2 linked regions of the Diceros bicornis minor genome follow. The protein of the gene in region 1 interacts with the protein of each later gene in a biochemical or structural test. Links are inferred from orthologs where the notes say so. Each region holds a gene or a part of one and is shown on either strand. Other genes may lie near its edges.

The links. The genes of interacting proteins can lie anywhere in the genome.
Region 2: the proteins of STAT1 (region 1) and MCM5 form a complex in vitro, tested with the Homo sapiens proteins (2 studies listed by BioGRID). The link is inferred for Diceros bicornis minor from reciprocal best matches to the Homo sapiens genes STAT1 and MCM5.

The regions. Positions count from the first base shown.
Region 1 is NC_080749.1:69,837,920-69,845,502, forward strand, and holds the start of STAT1 (signal transducer and activator of transcription 1-alpha/beta), read right to left. Parts: upstream 3,016-7,583; 5' UTR 2,868-3,015; intron 2,854-2,867; exon of another isoform or gene 2,761-2,853; intron 2,550-2,760; 5' UTR 2,393-2,549; intron 1-2,392. UniProt on the Homo sapiens protein: Signal transducer and transcription activator that mediates cellular responses to interferons (IFNs), cytokine KITLG/SCF and other cytokines and other growth factors.
Region 2 is NC_080764.1:14,204,292-14,211,625, reverse strand, and holds the start of MCM5 (DNA replication licensing factor MCM5), read left to right. Parts: upstream 1-4,315; 5' UTR 4,316-4,370; intron 4,371-4,596; 5' UTR 4,597-4,604; coding exon 4,605-4,771; intron 4,772-6,228; coding exon 6,229-6,355; intron 6,356-6,436; coding exon 6,437-6,565; intron 6,566-7,334. Other genes in the region: HMOX1 (heme oxygenase 1), read left to right, coding at 854-984. UniProt on the Homo sapiens protein: Acts as a component of the MCM2-7 complex (MCM complex) which is the replicative helicase essential for 'once per cell cycle' DNA replication initiation and elongation in eukaryotic cells.

The DNA.
Region 1 (7,583 bases):
TTTGATTACTGTCTGTTTTCCCCACATGAAGGGAAGGATTTGGGGGGGTTTGCTCACTGCTGCATCTCCAGAATAGTGCCCGGCACACAGGAGGTGTTTAATAAATATGCCGTTAAAATGAATCTGCACTTTTATCAAATAAATAAATGGAAAGCATTATTTAATCAGATTTGCTTTAGAACAAATCATAGGAACTCTCAAAAAATTGCTCTCTTACAAATTACAATGCATTTGTAATTTAACTCAAAGAGTTTTTTTGTGTGTGTGTGAGGAAGATCAGCCCTGAGCTAACATCCGATGCCAATCCTCCTCTTTGTTTGCTGAGGAAGACTGGCCCCGGGCTAACATCCGTGTCCATCTTCCTCTACTTTATATGGGACGCCGCCACAGCATGGCTTGACAGGCGGTGTGTCGGTGCACGCCCGGGATCTGAACCTGCGAACCCCAGGCTGCCACAGCAGAGCGCCATGCACTTAACCGCTGCGCCACCGGGCCGCCCCCTAACTCAAAGAATTTTAAACAAGTGTTTTATATTTTATGATTCATATATGAAATGATTTTTGTTATATACCTTTTAAAAGAGATATATTTTCTTCTTTGCCTACTGCAAACAATAAATTCAGCACAAAAAGTCTTAAATTTCAATAATAATTTTTAAAGGTTGAAACAGCATTGTTAAACGTAATTTGAAAGGATAAAGTAATACTATCTCTTTAGATAACTATAAGTCAATTTTTACATTGTAGTTCCAAAGATAAAAAAAACAAAAATGTGATTTAAGAAAGTCCTAAACATCCATTAGGAAAATGAAGAGCCTCCCGTCACCGTAGCGCAACTCAGGATTTGCATCAACGCAAGACTGGCAATATTCACTGCAGACATAAGTGAATCTTGTCCTACCAGGCCTCTGAGGAAGGGCTCTGGATTTGCAAGCATGGCATGGAAGTGGGTGTGCACACTTGCCGGTGAGCACACATATGCAGGCATAAAGTCATGTCTACTCCATAAATTTCCTTCCAAAGGAGGGTAAGGATGTGGTGGGACTATAAAGCTAGTGACCATCACAAATACCAGTAGAAATGGACCCAAGCCCACCCCGTTGGCACACTTGCTGTAGAAATTTGATGTTTCACTTCAAATTTATTTCACCGGAGTGGAAGACTCCAAATCTGCGGCTCTCTCCCTCCCTGCTAGGTGCCTGATAAAGATGTGCCTAAAACAAATATGCTGACCAGAGTATCAGCCAGCGGGGCTGCAACACCTCTTGTTAGGTGAGTGACCTCAGGTGACACACTTCCCTATTGAGAGTAGGTGAGCACAGACACGGTGCCTGGCACAGAGCAGGTGATAATAAACTCATGTTAACAAATCCAGAATCCACCTATCTTCTCACAAAACCAGTGAGTGGCATGACCACCCCTAATCACCTGGCTCAAATCCCAAACTTAGGGTTGACTCCTTCCTCTCCAGTCCCAAGACCTCCTACCTCTCTGCCTCCAACACTATTTCCCAATCCAGCCCCTGCTGCACACAGGTTGGACCACATCACTCTCTTGCTCAAATCATTTGCCAATTCCTAGGCTGATTTCCACCCTGATCCCATTTTCATCCATCAACAAAGCAACCCAGTCACCAAACTATCTATGGTTTTTCGGCTATGCCCAACATTTCTGCTTTGCTCCAGCTGTCACTCACCCTGAAAACAGCCTCCCCATAAATTTCTGCCTCTCTAAATCTTACCGGCATTCAAAGGTAGGGACAAATGCCTCTTCTTCCATAAAGCTGTCAGAAGCTCACCGAGAGACAATTAAGCTCTCTTTGACCTGTGCCTCATTGCTATTAGAGCATCAGTCCCCATCTTCCTTAGAAAGCTCTATGATATCTCCCCTGCACGATGTAAGCTCCAGAGTTGCCGGGACCATACATTTTTCTAAACATCCTCTGCACCTTGGACAGTGTCCTGCACATAGTATGTACTCAATAATAGTTCGTTGAATTGAAATCTAATATATTGCAAATTGAATTAAAAAGTAAAGGGCAAACAACATTATGGTTCAACTTTGAGTCCTGCATCCTCATGAAGCAATGGTTGCATATTAGATTGTGCTGGAGGCTCAAGTCTTGTTTCTGTCCCCTAAAAACAACCTCTCCAACTGATACAAACAACATCCAAAGCACAATCAACCACACACCTACATATTTACCCCCAACTCTTCGGTACTACTCAGAATTTTTCTTTAAAGACTAATTATATTATTTGGGGGTTTGCAAGAACTAAATATCACTTCTATATTCCAGGAACACACTAAGCTCCTTCATCCTTAAACACAGATATATAATTAAGTTCCAAAGCCATGCACTCATTCATTCATTTCCACGAACATTTACTGACCTGTCACCTTGTGCCCCAGCGAAGGGCTGGGGTTTCAACCCAAGCAGGAGCTACACACAGCACGTCAGACGTCAACACTGTTAGGTTTGCACGCACAGGGCGCCAGCGCCTAACCTTGATAGCTCTCTGGAGGTGGCACACCGCAAACGAAAACTTTCTGCGGAAAGAAAAAACGTGACTGTGGTGGCAAGGGGCGGGAAGGTGGGAAAAGTGAGGGTAAACGGGGAGGTGCAATGTTTTTTGGCGAAAAATTCTGTTTTGCAAGACATTCTTACCGCCAGAGCACGACAGGCAGGGGCAGCCGCACCATCACGGCGGACAGCACCTGGGATATTCGGGACGCGTTCTTTCCGGGATGACGGACTCACCTGTCAGCACTGCAGGCCGGTCCTCACCCGGCGTCCGGCTGCCCGGCCCCCACGACGCCGGCCTCGGCGCGCCCCACCCAGGCACCCGGAACCCCACGGCCACTCACTCTGCGCGCCTGATCGGGCAGGGTGGGCAGGGGCGCGGCGGTGCTGCCTCTCCCGGGGGGGCGCTGGGTCGCCTCTGCTCCGTCTGGGGTCTGACAGGGGTCGTCTGGGCGCGGCCGGGCCCCTCCGCAGCGGACTCGGCGCAGGAAAGGGAAAGTACCAGCGGGAGAAAAGGCCGCGCCCGGCGCCCCGCCTCCTTCCGCCTCCGCCAATCACCGGGCGGCTGCCGCGCTCGGCCAATCGGACGCGGCTGTTCCGCGGGTGCGCCGCCTCCCCCCGGGGACCGGGACGCAGCCAACCCGCTAGCTCCTTCCATAGCCTTCCGGCAGAGTCCCCACGTGGGTGACGTGCAGTTCATCTTTGTGTTGCAACTTGGCGGACTGGTGGTTATGTTTACATATTTTAGAGAACGACTAAAAGGAAGTTCTTTGTTTGCAGAGGCCCATACTTGGGGATCCCTGGATTAGCCCCATATTTGAGAACCCGAGGCAGAGGACACAGGTGGGCACGTTGTCATTCTAGAAGCTTAGCTTGGCAGCTGATCTCCATGTTGCTAAATTCAGTGGACGCTTTCTGTGCTCACCTTACTTGACCGCTCAGAAACATTTGGCACAGTTGACCCTCCATCCTTTAACACTTCTTCCTTGGCCATGATGACGACACATCCTCTTTGCTTCTTCCTACCTCTTCGGCATTCTTGCTCCATCTCTGCTCCACCTCCACTACCAAACCGTTCAATGGTAAGTGTTGTCCGAGTCCAGATCTTGGTCTGCTTTTCCTACACTTCTCACGCAGACCTGTGATGACCTTACCCACAGCTTCAATTTCCTTCTGTATTGGGAGAGCTTCCACATGTGTATCCTGTCCACACCTCTCCTCCGAGCTCCACACCCACGTGTACAGCCCCCACTTGACTCTCCACTGGATGTCTGGTAAGCTCCCCAAACTAGTTATGTTCAGAACCAACTCATCATCTTTCTCCTCAAATCTGCCCTTTTGCTAGAAATGGCACATACCAGAAAACTAAGAGTCATCTTTCAAATTGCCTTCTCACCCGTACACCTGGTCCTCAAGCCTTGTTGATTCTTCCTCCTAAATATTTCACAAGTCTTATCTCTTCTCTCCATCTCTTATGCCACCCCCCCACCACCCCTTTTTCTCTCATTAGGATTATTGCAGGAGATTCCCAATGGCTGCCTCACTTCAGCTCTCAACTCCCTTTCAGTCCATTCTCCATACAGCAGTTTGAGTGATTTTTTTTTTCCTAATTGCAAAGCAAATCATGTGTGTGCCTTGAAACCTCCTATGATGGTTTTTCTTAAAATTCCAAATTTCTTAAGATAGCCCACAAAGCCCTGGTTCCCTATCACTTTCTCCATCCCCATCTCGTGCCACTCTTTTCTCTCCTTACTTCAGCATTTTTGTTCTTCAAATAAGCCAAGCTCTTTCCCCACACTCAGGGCCTTCTCACCAGCAGTTCTCCATTTGGAAAGCCCCTTGACCAACAATCTACCTCCCCCAACTTGTTTGCTGGCTAACTCATCTTTTATGTGTTAGCTAAAATCTCATCTTAAAGGTCACTTCCCCAGGTAGGCATCCCCGAGGCCAGCCTAGACCTGATCTTGGAATGTACGCCCATAAAATCAATTGGTTCCTTCAAGTAGATGGAACTCGAATCAAGCCTTGAATAATAAGGCAACTTTGCATAGGAAAAGGATCTAAATAATTTCCCAGGGATATGCTTATATGAGTGTCTGTCATAGTTTTTTCTCTTCCCACGTCAATACACTCCTTCTTGTTGTCACATATTCACCCTCACAAAGCCAGTACTGAACTGGTGTTAACAATGACCCTTGGTACCAGAGTAGCAACCTTCTGTGAAAAGAGATGCTAGGCCACCAGAAAAGAGCCCTTCTCCTCCTACTCACCTGCACTAAGGGCTGAGACAATGTTTGAGAAAAGCTGACTTTAGGAAGGGTAGATAATATGTTAAAAAATTTGTTTTCTGGTACGGTAAAACTTGCACAGAGACTAGCTTCAATACTGATGGGGGAATTAAGTAATCTTAACAACTGCAAATAGGATGTTTCTCTTGAGCTCTCCACATTCTGATTGTCATCAAGTTCGAATGGATGCTCCCTTCCCTATGCCTTGATCCTCCTGAGTTTTACCATCATTGGCAATACCCTACTGTATACCTTCATCACTTCAGAACTGGAATGCTACAATAGACACCAGGCAGACGACCTTCTTCCCGTCCCTTCCCCCTCCACTATATTTGCCAAATTAAATTCTCTAAAACACCACATTTGTACAATCATTCCCTTCCCAAAGTCTTGACAACTCTCATTGCATTTATGATAAACACAAACTTTGTCTGCTAGTCTGGATCCTCCACAGAACGTCCCTACCTTTCTTTCCAGTCTTGTCTCCCATTGTCCCATTACCCAACTAAACTCTCCCCCCATGCTTTTAATTTTCCTGTTTCTGCCCCTTTGCACATACTCTTGGCAAGCATTGTACATAGGAAATGGCAAGTCCTGCCTTCTACTCCCCTCACTTATCAAATCCTTACCCAACTTCTAAAACCATGCCCAAATCCTATAGTCTCCTTCTGGAACCACCTCAACCTGTGGTGATCAATCTGGTCTCTGAAATAATGTGATATATAAATGCCTCTATTTAAGTTGACAATCACCATACACTCCCTTACATTATGGTTTTTGAAGTGTCCAAATCTTATCCCTCCAAGATTCTAAGTTCCTGGAAGACAAACTATATTTTATAAGTGTGACTGTTGAACATACTGACTGCTTAAAGGGCAACCAAATCAAAAACCAAACCAAACAAAAAACTAGAGATCCAGAAATGACAGAGCCAAATGCATGATGGCCCCCTTAGAGCAGTCAGCTATATCTCTATACCAACAAGTGTCAACTTTGCAAAAGACACACACCGAGAAAAAATAGCTAATACCACGTCTGGTAGATTGTATTATTTTTCACATTTTTTCTTTCCCTTCCCGCTCCTTGCCGTGGCTCACCAAGAGTGGCGGGTCCCTCCCCGTGCACTGACTCTGATCTTGGCCGTGTGACTTGCTCTGACTGATGGAATGTGAGATGTGATGTACCCTCCAGCTGAGCTAAGACTCCGTACGCTCTGTGTGATGGGCTTGTGCTTGTGCACTCCAGCCCTGTGCTGGGAGCCGTGGTCAGGCAGCCACTGCTCCTCCAGCCTGAGTCCTGGAAGGAGAGATGTGTGGAGCACCCTTGAACCTGCCACCTGGGGCAGAACTGCCACACCCCACCCACACACCCATGAGTGAGACGTATTTGTTTGTTGTCATTGTTATAAGTCACTGAGTTTTGTTTTGTTTTGTTTTTTGCCACTGAAATAGCTGACTAATTCATAGATGACAGAATCAAAATTCTAAATTATCTTAGGCTAGAATGCTGCTGGGCTGAAACCAACTGGATAAAACTTAAAACAGCAAATGCAAATACCTGTATTGGGTTTAAAAAAAAATCAAAAACAAATGACAGGGTAGTCTTTGTTGCCAGGGCCCAACTTCTGAATACTTCTCAACACTGCATCTAGTTACTCACTAGCAATCAATCAGAAAGGCAGGTAAGGTGAAACTTGCTACTTGCCATCCTTCAACTGGTGTATATTCAAAGGAGAGTCAAGGATGGCGTGGCGTCTAGAAACCACATTTTATGAGTAATTGAAGGCACTGGAGTAACTCATAAATTCACATGATGTTACAGTGGAAAGACTCTTAGAAACCCAGACTTCCCATTTGGAGCAATTTATTTTTGCTGGGAGAAAAGACAGTATCATTCCTATTCTTCATTCATCCTTTTATTCCCAATCACCCAGTTGTATTTATTTAATTATATTTATAACTAGAAATATAAATATAAAGAATACAATGCAGCCAACAAGTCAAAGCAAAAAGATAGATATTATCAGTTACATAATTCTCTTTACAAGAAATTAGGAAGGATCTCCTGGTAGATTGTTTTCAATAACGGCCACATTATTCCCTTCCCTGTATTCACACGCTTTTGCAATGTGACTATGTGGCTCCTTCCAGTAAAAGATGAGGACTATTTCCCCACTCCTTGAATCTGGGCTGGCTTGTGACTTGCTTTGACCAATATTACGCAGCAGACGTGACACTGTCATTCTGAGCCTAGGCCTCCAGGAGCCTTACATACTCCACTCCTAGAGCCCTGCCCTGCTTCTGTGGCGAGTCAGACTAGCCCACTGCAGGATGAGAGAGCACGCAAACCATAGCTGAGTCGAGGAGCTGTGAGGGCTTAGGCCTCAGACTTGTGAGAGAGCCCAGGCAAGATGAGACAGCCTCACCCAGATGAGCAGAACTGCGCAGCCACCTTGGAGTCACAAGCAATGATAAATGGTTGTTGTCTTAACCCCACTGAGTTTTGGGGGTAGTTTGGTTTGTTATGGAGCAATAGATCACTGATACAGATCTCATAGGGGGAAGCAAAGCATCCTACTACTGAATCTAAAACAAAATTTCTCAAGTGGTACAGGCTGGTTGGCCTCCCCACACCATGAATATTTTCCTTGGGGTCTCTCATCCCTGAGTAACGCACTATCCTCTATGTCTTTACTGCATCCCCATGAAAAACTTACTAGCTCTGTGTTCTGTCTTTACCGCCTTGGTCTGTTTTAAAACAGCAGCTCAAATC
Region 2 (7,334 bases), on another chromosome or scaffold:
GCGGTTGAGTTGGTTTCTCGTTCACTGGCTCAGAAGGGGAGACTTGCACACAAAGGACCTGGGAAGTCATGGGCAAAGCCCTGCCCTCGGTTAATTTAGGTTTTTTGGGGGGCCCTGTAATAGTTCCTAAGCAGAGATACCCTGATGTGGGGCAGGGAGACCAGGACTGTTGCTAGCTATTATTCCACCACGGAAGGCTAGGAAGACACATAACCTCTGAGTCTCGTCTCACGTGAGTCCCTGCCTCACATGCCTCAGAGAGCTATTGAGGCTGTGGCTGTGCTGGGAGAATATCTGGGAAACTTCCAGAAACACTAAAGTGCTCCACAAAATGCACCATCTCCCGTGGGCGGGAGTGTGGCTCTGGGAGTAGAGGAGGGGAGAGGGGTGAGTGAAGCTCAGCCGCCAGCTTGGCGGGTTACTTTAGGCCTTCGCTCCTGGTGCCACCCTACCCCACCTGGCCCTGTGTCTTTCCCACGTGTGCCAGGACCACATGGACCCCTCTGTTGGTGGGATTGTGCCCCGGAGCGTTGGAATGTGGCCAGTCCTGATGGGATTGGCCACCTGGTGGGCTGAGGGGACTTGGTCCTAATGCAGCAGTTCTCACAGTGTGGTCCCTTGGGGTACCCCTGGAGGGTACTTGCTCACAGTGTGGGCTGGCTGAAAATGGAAGGAGTGCACGGCTTGGAGCAGTAGTAAGCTCCCTGTCGTGGGAGGTATTCAAGCAGTGGCTGGGGGGCTACCTGTTGGTGTTCTAGCATTGAGTGGGGACTGTCCTGCTGTGTTTTTCTGTGACATTAGACACCCCACTTCTGTCCACCTGTTGCTGACACTGCCCCCCTTTCTCTTGCAGACTCTACTCCCACGGAGACCCCCGGGGGGAAGCTCCCTCTCAACATCCTCTCCCAGGTGCCGCTGGTCCGGTGGGTCCTCACACTCAGCTTTCTGGTGGCGACGGTGGCCGTGGGGCTCTACGCCATGTGAATGCCAGCGTGCTGCCTCCTGGGAGCCGTGAACTCTCACCAACGGAAGGCCTCTTTCTGGAGAGGGAGAATCTCTTGGCTGGCTTCCTTACCTTGGGCACGGGGGCTGTCGGGCCCCCACCCTCTCCCTGCGTCCCTCTCTCTCTGGAAAGCAAGGAGCCTGTGGTGGCTTCCCCAGCCAAAAGCGCAGCCAGCTGCATGATCTGAACTTTTGAAGCGGGCCGAGGGGTCCCGCCAGCCCCTCAGCATCCCCGTTCCTGCAGCAGAGCCCAGAAGACGTGGCCCACGGAGGCAGCTCTCCTCACCTCCAGATGCCCTGGGTTCACGGTCTCCTCGCTGATGTGCCGTGCCCGCTGTGCCCGCGGCCCATGGCAGTTTTTACATAAATGTGCAAAGATGTTGTGTCTCGTGTGTCTGTCTTGTTTTTGTTGGAGCCACTTTTTGTTCCCGGCTCAGCCTGAACTGGGGATTTTTGTTGTGTTCTCATGTTTTTATAGCAGGGTTGGGGTGGGTTTGGGGGGAGCGGGAGGGGGTGCAGAGGGAGGTGTTTAACAGCACTGTGGCCTTGGTCTCTAACTTGTGTGTGAAATAATAAAGGATACTGCCTGATAGTAACTCGGAGTGTTTTTCTTGGGCTCTGTTACCCTTGGGGAACAGACCTTCTCGTTGCTTGTTTCTTGACTGCCTGCTGGGGAGACGTGGTGAGGGTGCTGGTGGCAGGAGCTGGTTTTGGACCTTGTGCTCTGTTCTGAGAACGTTGGTGGGTGAGCTTTAAGCTGTTGGTGGGCGAATCTTTGTGGCAAACCCCGCTCGACGTGAGGCTCAGCTTTACCGAGGATGGGATTGCCCCGTGAGGCTGAAATGAGCAGATTCTGGGATAAAATTTGTGTGTCCCGCACGATAAATCTTAAAGACTTGAGATCCTGGGTTCAAATTCCCGTTCCTCCACATTGTAGCTCTGCCTTGGAGGTTAGTTATTAACTTCCCTGGGACTCAGTTCTGTCACCTGTAGCATGAACACAGTGAGACCCACTTCACCTGCTTGTTGTGAGAAGCAAATGAGATGCAGGTAAGATGCCAACCTCATACCACAAGAGCTCCTATTGTGAAACAATGGAGATCAGTTTTTTGTGAATTTTGCCTAGTGATTTTTTTTTTTTTTTTGAGGAAGATGGGCCCTGAGCTAGCATCTGTGCCCATCTTCCTCTATTTTGTATGTAGGACGACGCCACAGCATGGCTTGATGAGTGGTTTGTAGGTCCGTGCCCAGGATCCGAACCCGGGACCCCCGGGCTGCCAAAGTGGAGTGCGTGAACTTAACCACTACACCACTGGGCCAGCCCCTGCCAAGTGATTCTTGTCCTGTGAGAGTCACCTCTCCTCTGTCATCTCATTTAATCTTCACAGCAAACCTGACAGGGGTGTTACCACTCTGAGGGGCAGGAAGGATTTAACCCAGGTCTGTCCGGCCCTAAAACTCAAGCCTTTTCCATGAAGTCACGCAAGCCACTGAAACACTAAATATGCAGCCTCCCACTCTGGGAAAGTGAAACCCCTTACTGAAGGTGGAGTTGGGACAGCAGGGGACAAAGGGTTTCCTTATACCAGTAGGAAGCGAGGACCGGGAGTCAGGAGACCTTGATCCCCAGACTTGGCTTGGTCACTAAGTCTGGAAACTTGGATGTCACTTCAAGTCTTTGTTCATTGGCAAAGAGAACAATACGCCTGCCTCCCACAGCTGGTGGGAGGGCCCAGTGGTGACCAAACACCAGCGGATGTGGCATCGGAATCACTCGGGGAATTCGGGTCCCACCCCGGGAGGTTCTGACTCTGGAGCCCTTGACGGGACTCTGGAATTCTGTTCACGGAGAGCTTCCACCGTGCGGCCAGGTCCTGGGGCCACTTCAAGAGGTGATGGCCAGAGAGCAGGCTTCAGACAGCAGCCACAGCTCTCCCCACCTGGGCCCAGTTTCCAGAGCTTTCTGTGAATGGGGCATCCATATTCATTGTTAGTCGTGACAAAGAAAGGAAGGAAGGGGGCGGGCGAGAGAAACCATCTAGAATTCTACCAACAGGAAAATGGCCCAATAATTTATATCCTATTCCTACTACGGAAAACACAGCAGCTTGTTAAACAGAATGTGTTAAATCTGTCTCTCCGCTCAGGGGGACTTCCGTGAAGAAAATGAGCAAAGCCAGTTTCAGATTCATTTGATATAATTTTTACACACTGTAAAAATACACATAGTTTGAACACATAAATCTATGTTTGTGTGGATGTGACCAAGAGGGTAAAAAGTTCTTTCCAGTTTTTTGGGGGGTGGGAAGGGAAAAGAAGGGAGGGGAGATGATGTGGTCCCTGTTGCAGCTGGAGAATGCATCGAGTTTTGCCAAATCTTCTTGCTTTTCAAGCTAGGTTGGGGATCTGGTCATGAATTTTCACAAATTTTAAGCACTACCAGGTAATGCAAAATCTACAATAATAAAAAAAATCACCACTCGGATCTAAGAAAACATCCCTTGCGTCCCAAGTTTGGGACGATTTTGGTCCCAGAGGTGTTAGGGAGACCCGAGGTGACTTTTTTTCTGATAAACCTCCAACTTTTGGGCGAGTGTGTACCGGTAAGAGAACACGGGGCGGGGGTGCAGGGGGCTCACACTGCGCAAGCGCGTGCTTCTCTGAGGACTCATAGCTGCTTTTTTCTTTTTGTGAGGAAGATCAGCCCTGAGCTAACATCCATACTAATCCTCCTCTTTTTGCTGAGGACGACCCGCCTTGAGCTAAAATCTATTGCCAATCCTCCTCCTTTTTTTCCTGTTTTTTTCCCCAAAGCCCTAGTAGATAGTTGTATGTCATAGCTGCACATCCTTCTAGTTGCTGTAAGTGGGATGCAGCCTCAGGAGAAGCGGTGCCTCGTGGGCGCCCAGCGTCTGAACCAGGGCCGCCAGTAGCAGAGCGCCCGCACTTAACCGCTAAGCCACGGGCTGACCCCCATAGCTTCTGAACCCCGAGTTCTTACACCCCATGGCTCGGAAAGCGGCTACTTTACCCCAGTCCGCCCGCCCCGCCGCCATCTTCGCGCCCGCCCTGCCCCTTCCTCCCCTTTCAGAACTTTCGCGCCAAACCGGCCGACGCACAAAATGGAGCCCGGAAGGGGGCCAGGACTGACGTCAGGCGCCCCGCAGCCAATCCTCTTCAGCGGCCAGCCCGGGAGGCGGGGCTCGCGGGCTCAGAGCGGCCCAATCACTGGCCGCGCGGCCCCGGCGAACCAATGGGGGCGCAGCGGCCGCGGCGGGCGAAGGCGGGGTCTCGCTTTTCCCGCGAAAGTCGGCGGGGAAGTGTGGGGTGCTGGTTTGTCCCGGGCCGCGGAGTGCGGGAAGGGAGAGGTGAGGCCGGGGGCCTGGGGGCCGCGGAGCCGGCCCCGCGGGGGTCGACAGGCTCTGCATGTGGGGGCGCGGTAGGGGCGGGCGGGGCTTCTCCTGGGAGAGCTGGCGTGGGTGGGGTCCGGCGGGGAGCCGGGGTCGCCCAGCCGCCGGAGCCGAGGACCCCGGCGTCCGAGCGGAGGCGAGGCCGCGCCGCCCGGCCCGCTCCAGCGCTCTGTCCCCGCGCCAGGTGCAGTCATGTCGGGCTTCGACGACCCCGGCATTTTCTACAGCGACAGCTTCGGGGGCGACACCGCGGCCGACGAGGGGCACGCCCGCAAGTCGCAGCTGCAGAGGCGCTTCAAGGAGTTCCTGCGGCAGTACCGGGTGGGCACCGACCGCACCGGCTTCACCTTCAAATACAGGTGCGGGCTGGCGCGGGCCGGGAGAGGTGCGCCCCCAGCAGTGCCTGAGCGCTCAGCAGAGCCCCGCACCCCACTGGCCTATGGTTGTGTCCATTTTATCCCCGGTGTTAACTTGCCAGTGAGTCACCTGTTGAGTGGGCCGCTAGAGCCACTTGGGCCCTTTGGTTCTTCCTCTAGGTCTTCTTCCTGCTCATTTGCTTCGTGCTGTCCTCACATGTAGTGTCTGTGATGCCTTGTAAACTCAGGTTCACTGTGGGTGCGACCTGTGGGTGGTAGTTATGATCGACTTTGCTCGTTCATTCCTTGCCATTGGTAACTTCAGTGGATTGAGCGTCTGCTGCAGGCCAGGCCAGGCACTGTTCCAGGCACTGAATGAGCTGGGCAAGGTTGGACACTGTGCACCCTGTGACGTCATGCCGAATCCTTGTAGGCCCTTCAAGTGCAGAGAACATGAGTTTGCAGGTCCAGGCTTGGGCATGACCAGTTATTAGCTGAGTGGCTTCCGAGTGACCGTCTCTCTGGGCCTCAGTTTCTTCATCAGTAAAATGGGCTTAGCCACTCCTGCCTCTGTTTACTCACGCACCAGCTGACATGGACCACCTATGTGCCAGGCACCGTGCTGGGCACTGAGATACAAAGGTGAAAGATTCATTCTGTTTGCCCTCAAGAAGCTCATACATCAGTAGGAGCGAGGCATGGAGACCAGCAAATAAATTACAAGGTGATAGTCACCTCAAAGGAGAAATATAAAAGGAGTTAGGGAAGGCTTCCATGGAGCCCAAATTTGAGGTGATGCTTGAGCTGAGAGAATAGTTCAGGTGTGGAAGGCTTTCCGTATAGGAGCAGTTGCGTGCACGGGCAGAGGTACGGGGTGGCCTGTGATAGCAAGGGGCTCTCCGGGCCGGGCTCCTGGACATAAGGTGAAGGGGATGAGGCCTGAGAGAGGCTGAGGAGCAGGTTCTGCGTAGGTCGTGGTCCCCAAATGTGTTTTGGGGACAGTAGTCCCATGCGATGTTCTGTGAAAAGAGTCTGGTGGTTGACAAGACAGACATGGTCTCTGCTGTCTTCAGTCTCCGAGTTTGAGCTGTGTGCCTTGTTAACCTCCAAGAGAGAGTTAAAGCCTCCGAGTCCTGCAGTGAAAGCGCTGGTTTGCAGTGCGAGTTTCCTAAGCTCACCTGTGCGCAGAACCCTGTCTGAGCCATGCAGCATCCCTCGACTATCTGGTGGACCACTTCCACAGAGCTTTCTGTGGAGGGTGGCTCTGTCAGCGGCGGGGAGCCTCTGCAGGGTTAACTAACGGAACCACCTGGAATTCGATGTGTGTTTGGGAAGAGGGGTGGTGGGGCAGTGGCGGCCCCAGTGTGGGCAGATTTGGGGTGCGGGTGCACCTCAGCCAGCGTTGGTTTCCTCTTCTCCGCACCCTTCCCCGCCCCCACCCTGCCACCTGCCCCCTCCAGGGATGAACTCAAGCGGCATTACAATCTGGGGGAGTACTGGATCGAGGTGGAGATGGAGGACCTGGCCAGCTTCGACGAGGACCTGGCCGACTACTTGTACAAGCAGCCGGCTGAGCACTTGCAGCTGGTGAGTGGGACCCCATCCCTGAGCCCCTCAGGGCTGGTCCTGCTCTGGTCACTAACAGCGTGTCCCCTTCCTCCTCTCCAGCTGGAGGAAGCTGCCAAGGAGGTGGCTGATGAGGTGACCCGGCCCCGGCCCACTGGCGAGGAGGTGCTCCAAGACATCCAAGTCATGCTCAAGTCGGACGCCACCCCATCCAGCATTCGTAGCCTGAAGGTGGGTCTGCCTAGAGGCCAGGCGGAGGGTCAGGGGGCTGCTGCGTGGTGCGGAGGGCCTTCGGAGGTAGGTGGACCTGGGTGCCAGCTGTGTGAGCCCGAGCAGCTCACTCGACCTTTCTGAGCCTGTTTCCTCCTCTGTAAAATTAGTTCACTGGACACATGTTTCCTGAGCCCCTCCTGGGGCAAGGCAGTGAGTTGGGTCCTGGAGAAACAACGGTGAACTAGAGGACAAGCTCCTGTCCTCGCGGAGCTTCTGTCCCCTGGGGGAGACTGAGTAAACCCGTCACCGTCACTCACGATAATTTCAGATGATTGTCAGTGTGATGGAAGAAATCAAGAGGGTGATGAGAAAGTGTGGGGGCCCCTCTGGAAAGATAGAGAAGGCGTCTTCGAGGAGGTGACATCTGAGCGGAGAGCTGAGGATGAGGATGAGCAGCATGCAGACAGCTGGGAGCGAGCATTCGAGGGAGGTCGAGGGGCAGGTACAGCTAGTGCACAGCCTGAGAGGTGAGGAGGGCACGGTATGTTCGAGGTCGCGTTGCAGGACAGCCAGTGTGGCTACAGAGTGATGAGGAAGCAGGGGAGGTGGGCAGAGCCGGTCTGTCATCTAGGTTATCCCTTTTATTCAACAAATACTTCCTGAGTGGCTGCTACGCGCCAGGAGCTGGGCCTAGACCCTCACTATAAACAGACGGGCCCTTGTTCCCGTGGAGCTTATGGTGGGAGAAACAGACACGGGACATTGAGATGATTTCAGGTACGGTGAC